Tribolium castaneum: one gene and its partner. The main gene of each other region encodes a partner of the protein of the gene in region 2 in a complex. Links are inferred from orthologs where the notes say so. Each region holds a gene or a part of one and is shown on either strand. Other genes may lie near its edges.

Region 1 (2,342 bases), on a different chromosome or scaffold from region 2:
ATGAGTTATGACTGGCCAGGGCAGTACATTCACAGTAAAAATTTTTGGGTTGGTTACTGTGGATACTATACACTGTGGCACCATATATTCTTTTGGCCTAACTTTTTGCTCCGATTGTAAGGCCCCAACTACCTTAAAGTGATTCTCTCTACTGTAAGTAATTAACACTACACACGCAAAATTGTTAAATTAAAAAATTAAATTAAATATTGAATTACGAAAATTTCGTTACTGTTTTCGACATAGTTCAAAAGTCGTCACCAGAGGGCGTCTAGTTAATTTTATTTCCGAATACAACCAATCACTACGCACAGGAGTGAACAAACATTAACAAATCCTGGTTTAGACATTTAAGAAGTTGAGTTGCAACAAATGTGGCGGTTTCAGACGTCCAAACATGAAAAAAATGCAAATCATGGCACATTAAAGACTTGGAGAAAGGATGCGGCTTTTGATACATTTTAGTAAACACAAGTATGAATCACAATCCATGTTCTTACTCATTTGTCCCAGTAATAAACTAAAGAATCTGAGATAAAGTGTAACACTTACCGCTCTTTCACAATAAGCCCCCATCAGCTTCCTGAGAGGGGTGTGCTTTTTGATCTTGAACTGGACGACAGCATTATCTTGTCCCAGTACTTTCAAGTTGATATGTTCCGTTTCATTGCTCTGCAAAGTCCCAAAAACGTGAGTATCAGTTCAAAATTACGGGAAAAAAACCTCGTTTATGGTTAGGAAAGAAAAGTCATGTTTACCTTCTTTTCGTCACCCATATTTGGCAAATTTGGTTGTGGCTTGTAGGAGGGTCTGGGGCCGAAGTTGATGCACAAATGTAAACGGTTTTAGTGGAATTTGGTGCACTTTTAACCGTTTTATCAACAGACACGCAGCTTGCCGCTAACAAATAATGGCCGGCTTGCTTGCAAAGTAGCGGTAACTGCTCGCCGGAAGTGACTACGCGGTTAGTCAAAGTCGGCTTTAGCTGTTCAAACTTCACACTTCCGCTTGAAACATTTGTAGAAATTTACCACTTCACGTTGACAAAACGTGCTTGAAACAACGCGGTAAATTAATACAAAAAATTAGGCTTTGTTTTCAATATAACTTTCACATGTTTTCTGCGATTTTTTAATAATTTAATCAAGAAATTAATCCTTATTTGTTATTGCCGTCGACAGATGGCAGGCCACAAGCTTCAATTGATCAGGAGCACCAATATTCCAGAAGTGAAGAACCCAGAAATTCACGAAATTAGAAATCAAAAAGCTTCTAGAAAAGCGCAGTTAAAGCTTTTTGAAAGTAATCTAATTTAAAGTCTAAATACCAACGCAACAAATTTTGATTAAGCGAGAGTGTGAGGTACAGAATTTGGTTAATTTTTGATGTGTCAGTGAAAAATTAGGTTATATTTTTTCAGGTTTTGTCGAGACAAGATGATTATACCGGTTCGTTGTTTTACTTGTGGGAAAGTTATTGGAAATAAATGGGAGGCTTATCTTGGGCTTTTGCAAGCTGAATATACGGAAGGAGATGCTTTGGATGCTTTGGGTTTGAAGAGGTACTGTTGCAGAAGAATGCTTCTTGGACACGTCGATCTTATTGAAAAGTTATTGAATTATGCTCCTTTAGAGAAGTAATCTGTAGTAGTAAGTCTGTTAAGTAAGTGTAGGTGTAAGTTTAATTTTATGGCATGTAAAAAGGCGCGTTTTTGAATAAATTTTACTATTATGCCTTGTCTTTCATAAACCAGCATTTTTGCAACATCCTATTTAGTTTTTCCTACTTCACGAGTTCACGGTAACTTTTTTGTTTATTTTTATAAAGTTATTCAAAAAAATTGCATTATCTTTGTTAATTCAACCATGTCTAGAGGGTCAAGAAAGTGTCGATATGGTGATAAGGGATGTCCAGTAAAGTTTAGAAATGAAGTCAGATCTTTTCCCAAGCAACTTGATTTTTTTATCATTCTTGTATTTGTTTTCTTTAGCAACCATTTTAATTGTTGTTTTGTTTCCAGTGATTAATAATATTAATATGATTAATATTAAATTATTTATTGTATAATTTGCTAATTTAAGTGTTTGTAACACCATAAGACAATAATTGTTGGTGATTTTTTTAAAAGATACAGGGTGACTCAGGGGTGCGGTCTGTAACTTTTTTGTTACTTGAAATTTTGCCATGTTTTCGTTTTCATTATTCTATAGATAGACTTAAAGTCCACAAACTATCTTTTTTTTATTATACACAGGGTGTTGTATACATCCTGGTTTACTAGAGTTATATTTTTTGAAATGAAACACCCCATACATTTTCACATAATTATATTCTATGCAAAA
Region 2 (4,601 bases):
TTCTTGCTGAGCTTTCTCAATCTATCATCAGAAATCTTCATGACAAAATAATTTTTTTACCAAAAATAAATTAAAATTTGACCTATTGTTTCCAAAGTGAAAAAAAAGATTTTGTTGATGCTTCACTAAATTCAGTTCATAGAATTAACACCATAATTGTTTGTATGAATAATACTAGGATACAGAAATATCGTGTTTTACATCTTCTAGTCTTTAGTTGCTTTTGCCCTCTCTTTCTCTTGTCCCGCACTTGACTGTGGGAGATTCTCGGCGGCAAATTTTGTCAAAATGAATATTCGCGATTCGTTCAAAACTACAACAAAATTTTTCGTTTTTTGGACGCATTCTGTTCGTACCATCACTGTGCATCTTTCCCGTACACATTTTTAAAAATATTATGAATATTTGTTTAAACTTTTAATAAAAAAATATCAAATAATTTTTTTTCAAAGTCTTACGTTGTCTCAAATTATAATTATTTAAAAGAGTCAATTCCATTTTTCGATTTAAAATTGGATTACAAATATCGCCAAAAGTAGAAAAATAAATTTCATTACTACTTGTCTTTGCCACACACTTGGTTTAACTCTGTCGTCCCCTTTAGCCTTATAGTGACCTATTATCCACTAGTGGAATAAACTAGGAATTATGACTACCAGACAAAGCCTGCCAAGATTAATTTTACGATTGTGGATAAAACATTGTATTGCATTCATGTTTTAGTCGCATTTTATCCACTTGAGAATATTAAACATTCTTGCGTGGATAAAATGCTTTCGAAAACACTTATACAATAAATAGCTATTAAAAAATCTGCGAAACCAAGGGCCGTATGAATACAATTGAGTAAATGCTTTTACTTCAAATTTTGCAAGTAAATGTTCTAAATTGTATGAGTAAAAATGTAAGTATAAGTTTTTACTAAAAGTAAAAGCACACTGGGCGAGTATTTGCTTGAACGTCGAGGTTTTACTCAAAACAAAATGAATAAAACAAAGTAAATGCTTTTTTCGTTGAGGATTTAGTTCAAAATTGTTGACGCTAATCAGTAGGAGCATCAATTTTTAAAAGTAACACCTCAAACTCGAAACAATGGTGGGTGTTGTGCAACTATGGGTAAGAAAAACTTATAAACAACCTCGCGAACACATAGGATAAGATTTTAAGACTTTATATCGGTTTGAACGAAAAAATCTTCGTGCTTTGGCTAGGTATTTTTTGAGTGAGAACAACGAAATGGGAGGAGATGGAAATCCATTTTAAAAATTACAACATTGAAAACTTCACTACAATGATTTATTTTGAGAGCAGATTCTCCAAAAAACTAAAGAAGTAAAAGCAAGAGCAAATGCTTTTCCTTTATACTCATACTTTAAGTAAATACTTCAACTTTATTCATACGACCCCATATCTACATCTTCAACTATTTAGGCCCCAAAAATGTTTAAAAATGCTCACACAGCGGTTTCGTTTCATTTTATGGTCAAGTATTGGAAAATTAATTTATACCTAAACCAATGAAGATGTGGCGGACTTTTTTGTAGGAAATTTAATTCTCTACATCTATGCTTCTTACACATCTTTAGTTGAATTCGCAGCGTTTTCATATATATAAATATGCGATTTTTTGACACTGTTTTCAATAAAGTGTTTCCACTATCTTAATCTCTGACTCTTTCTGTATTAAGTTTTTAATTTAAATTAAAAGTGCAAAAAAATATAAACATTTATTATCAATTTGCAATCCGCGTTATAATTTTTAAAACATAGCGAATACGTTTAAAGGTATAAAGAAGTGTGAAGAACAAAGTTGTAAAGAAAAATAGTCGCGGACTTTTTTGTAGAAAATTGATTTTTCTACTACTTTGTTCCTAACATTTTTCTTGTATCTTTAACCAAATTAACAGCGTTTTAAAAATATGGGTCACACTGCAAATTAATATGTTTGAAATTTTTGCATTATTTTTAGTTGTTACTCTTGAAAATTTAATGCTCTATGTGCCTGTATTTTTTTGAATTGTGTTAATAGTTATTTAAATAGTCAACTGGGCTTTTTGGCGACATTACCGAAAATATTGAAGTCGGAGACGTTTTATTTGTACGTCGTTCGTTTAGAAAATAACTAAAAGAATGATACCTTCAAAGCCTTTTCGCAGTGTGGTAACGACTCTTGCACGTCGTCTAACAACACACCGCCTAACCCTTTCAAATCTTGTTGTTTCAATAGTTTCAGTAAGCTTTTCCTGTCTTTAAGTTTATATGGAGCTTTGAATAAAAATTTTCCGTCAGGAGTGACCTCAATTTTAGGATTATCGACTAACGCTTCGGTTTGCAGCCACTTAAATCAACACCATTACATTTAAGTATTGTAATAATGACACAAAATTACTTGCTTGACTTTATTCCCTACGTCTAATTGATTAGTTTCGTCTAAAATTTCCTCTAATGTGAGTGGATATGTTTCACCTTCTTGGTGTCTCTTCCTCATATGTTTCACGATTTTAGCGAGAACACCGAATCGATATTGCGAACTTCCTGTTGCTGTTTTGTATCTAAAAAAAAATCACAAAGTAATTGATTCAAATTTGCAATGTTTTGCTGCTTACGTGTTGATATCAAGTTTAGGGGTGCTACTACTAGAAGACTTAAACCTTTTGCTATCATCGCGAGTTGGTTCTGGTCTTGAATCAGTCTTTTTTCTTTCTACACTGAAAGTAGAACAAAATTAACTGAATAAGTTGACAAAATGCGAATGCTACTTACGTAGGAGTTGTAAGTGCACGTTTTTTGAATAATTCTCTTTCTTTTAGTAAGGCGGGGTCCATTTTATTGGAGAAATAATAAATAAATAATACGAACTATGTTGTTTGAGGAATAATCATCTGTTTTCTTTTGCATTTGACATTCACGGCTGTCAAAGTGACAAGTGGTGGGGGACCGATGCCTTGCGCTGTCTGTCTTTTGTGGCCGACTGTTCCTTGAACCGAATTTTATATATTTTTTTGCAATATTATTATTTAATTAATTACTAATTATAGAAATATGTAGTAATAATCGTTGTTAATTAACTCTAGTTTTTAATCGGATGTGATGCCAACTACTAGCTTGCTGTGTGGAGGTTTTTTGGTTTTTGTTTTACAATGCAAGCTGTCTCAAAATTTGCGAATTTCGAGTTCAGAGCATTGTAAAGATAGTAAAGAATCGCTTCAGTAGTCCAAATGTAGAAACCAAATGAAGATTCGGGGCTTCCCCATTACTTTGGTTTGAAGATCACTTTCTCTTTGCACTGCGTTTTCTTCAAATACGGACTAAAAGTTTAAGTGTTTATTCTTATTTATGGTGAAGATGATTGTTGAGAATAATAATGTAAAACGATTGTCGATTTCTTAAAAAATAGCTTTATTTTGGTGTAAAAAAATTAAGTTTTTGTAATTTGTTGTTACATTTTTAAGAAAAATTAAACAAGTTGAATGAATAAAATATTTTTTCTAAAAAAATTACACAATTTTTTAATTAGTTTTAAATTATTATTTTCTACAATCATCTAAGAACACCATAAATAACAATAAACACTAAAATTTTTAGCCCGCGTTTGAAGAAAACGCAATTCAAAGTAAATCTTCATTTTGTGTCTTCTCATACATTTAAGCTACGGAACTCTACAACGCTCTGAACTCGGAATAATTCGCCAATTTTGAGACAATTTTGTCCCAGCTAAGACTACCTGGGGCAGTGCGTAATTTGGGGGTGGCAATTGCCATCCAAAATTGTTCAGCTCAACATTATTTGTAATATGGAAGAATGAAAAAACAAAATTATCCAAGAAAGAGCCGACATTTTTGTTGAAGGGCTATGAAAAGTATGTTCCCTCTACTTTTTGACCTTTATATGTTTATTTTTTGCGATTCCAATAAACACAACATCTTGTGAGAGGTCTTTTTCTCGCTTGCGGCGGTTGAAAACGAACACTAGGAAGATTGGCCAAGAAAGGTTGTCTTCATTATCTCTTTTGGCTATCGAAAGAAGTGTTAATGTTGACATTTTCAAGGTAATTGATATCTTTGATACGAACCTTCACTTCACTTTGCTTAAAAAATAACTTATAATAATAACTAAAATTTGAATAAACCTTTGTTTTTTTTTATGTTTGTTTCATTTACATGAAAAAGATCACGAATTAAAAATTGGTCTACAGTAGGCCCATTTAAGAGTATCTCTTAAGTTGCGTCTAACTACCTAACATTACACATTACCTAATTAACAGTGAATCTTTAAAAAACAAAAAGATTCATAGGTACATAGCTACAGGTATTTCAGCAGTTTTAATTTCCGTTAATTTTTCTGCGATACGCGAAGAAGGTACATTTTTATATTTCATTTAGTATTTTCTTCAAATTTCAAAAGATATTTTTTTAAAACAACTCGTTAAATGTTGAGTTAAATTATGAACGTCTTTTGAGCCAATTTCTTAATCTTCTAGGTTGCTTTTTAATCCAGAAATTTTCATTTCCATTTTTGAATTTTACCGATACAATAAGCAAAAAATAGTTGCCGAGATAGGCCAGAACGATGTATTTCATTTAGGTTTTTTATTTACTTGT

The links.
Region 1: TfIIEbeta (region 2) and Polr2L share a complex: the UniProt entries of both Homo sapiens proteins name them as parts of the TBP-based Pol II pre-initiation complex. The link is inferred for Tribolium castaneum from reciprocal best matches to the Homo sapiens genes GTF2E2 and POLR2L.

What each region holds. Positions count from the first base shown.
Region 1 is NC_087394.1:15,049,604-15,051,945, reverse strand, and holds Polr2L (RNA polymerase II subunit 10), read left to right. Parts: upstream 1-1,436; coding exon 1,437-1,640; downstream 1,641-2,342. Other genes in the region: Sumo (small ubiquitin-related modifier 3), read right to left, coding at 553-672, 759-776. UniProt on the Homo sapiens protein: DNA-dependent RNA polymerase catalyzes the transcription of DNA into RNA using the four ribonucleoside triphosphates as substrates.
Region 2 is NC_087396.1:10,271,524-10,276,124, forward strand, and holds the start of TfIIEbeta (general transcription factor IIE subunit 2), read right to left. Parts: upstream 2,941-4,601; 5' UTR 2,826-2,940; coding exon 2,764-2,825; intron 2,709-2,763; coding exon 2,607-2,708; intron 2,553-2,606; coding exon 2,390-2,552; intron 2,339-2,389; coding exon 2,138-2,338; intron 1-2,137. UniProt on the Homo sapiens protein: Recruits TFIIH to the initiation complex and stimulates the RNA polymerase II C-terminal domain kinase and DNA-dependent ATPase activities of TFIIH. Both TFIIH and TFIIE are required for promoter clearance by RNA polymerase.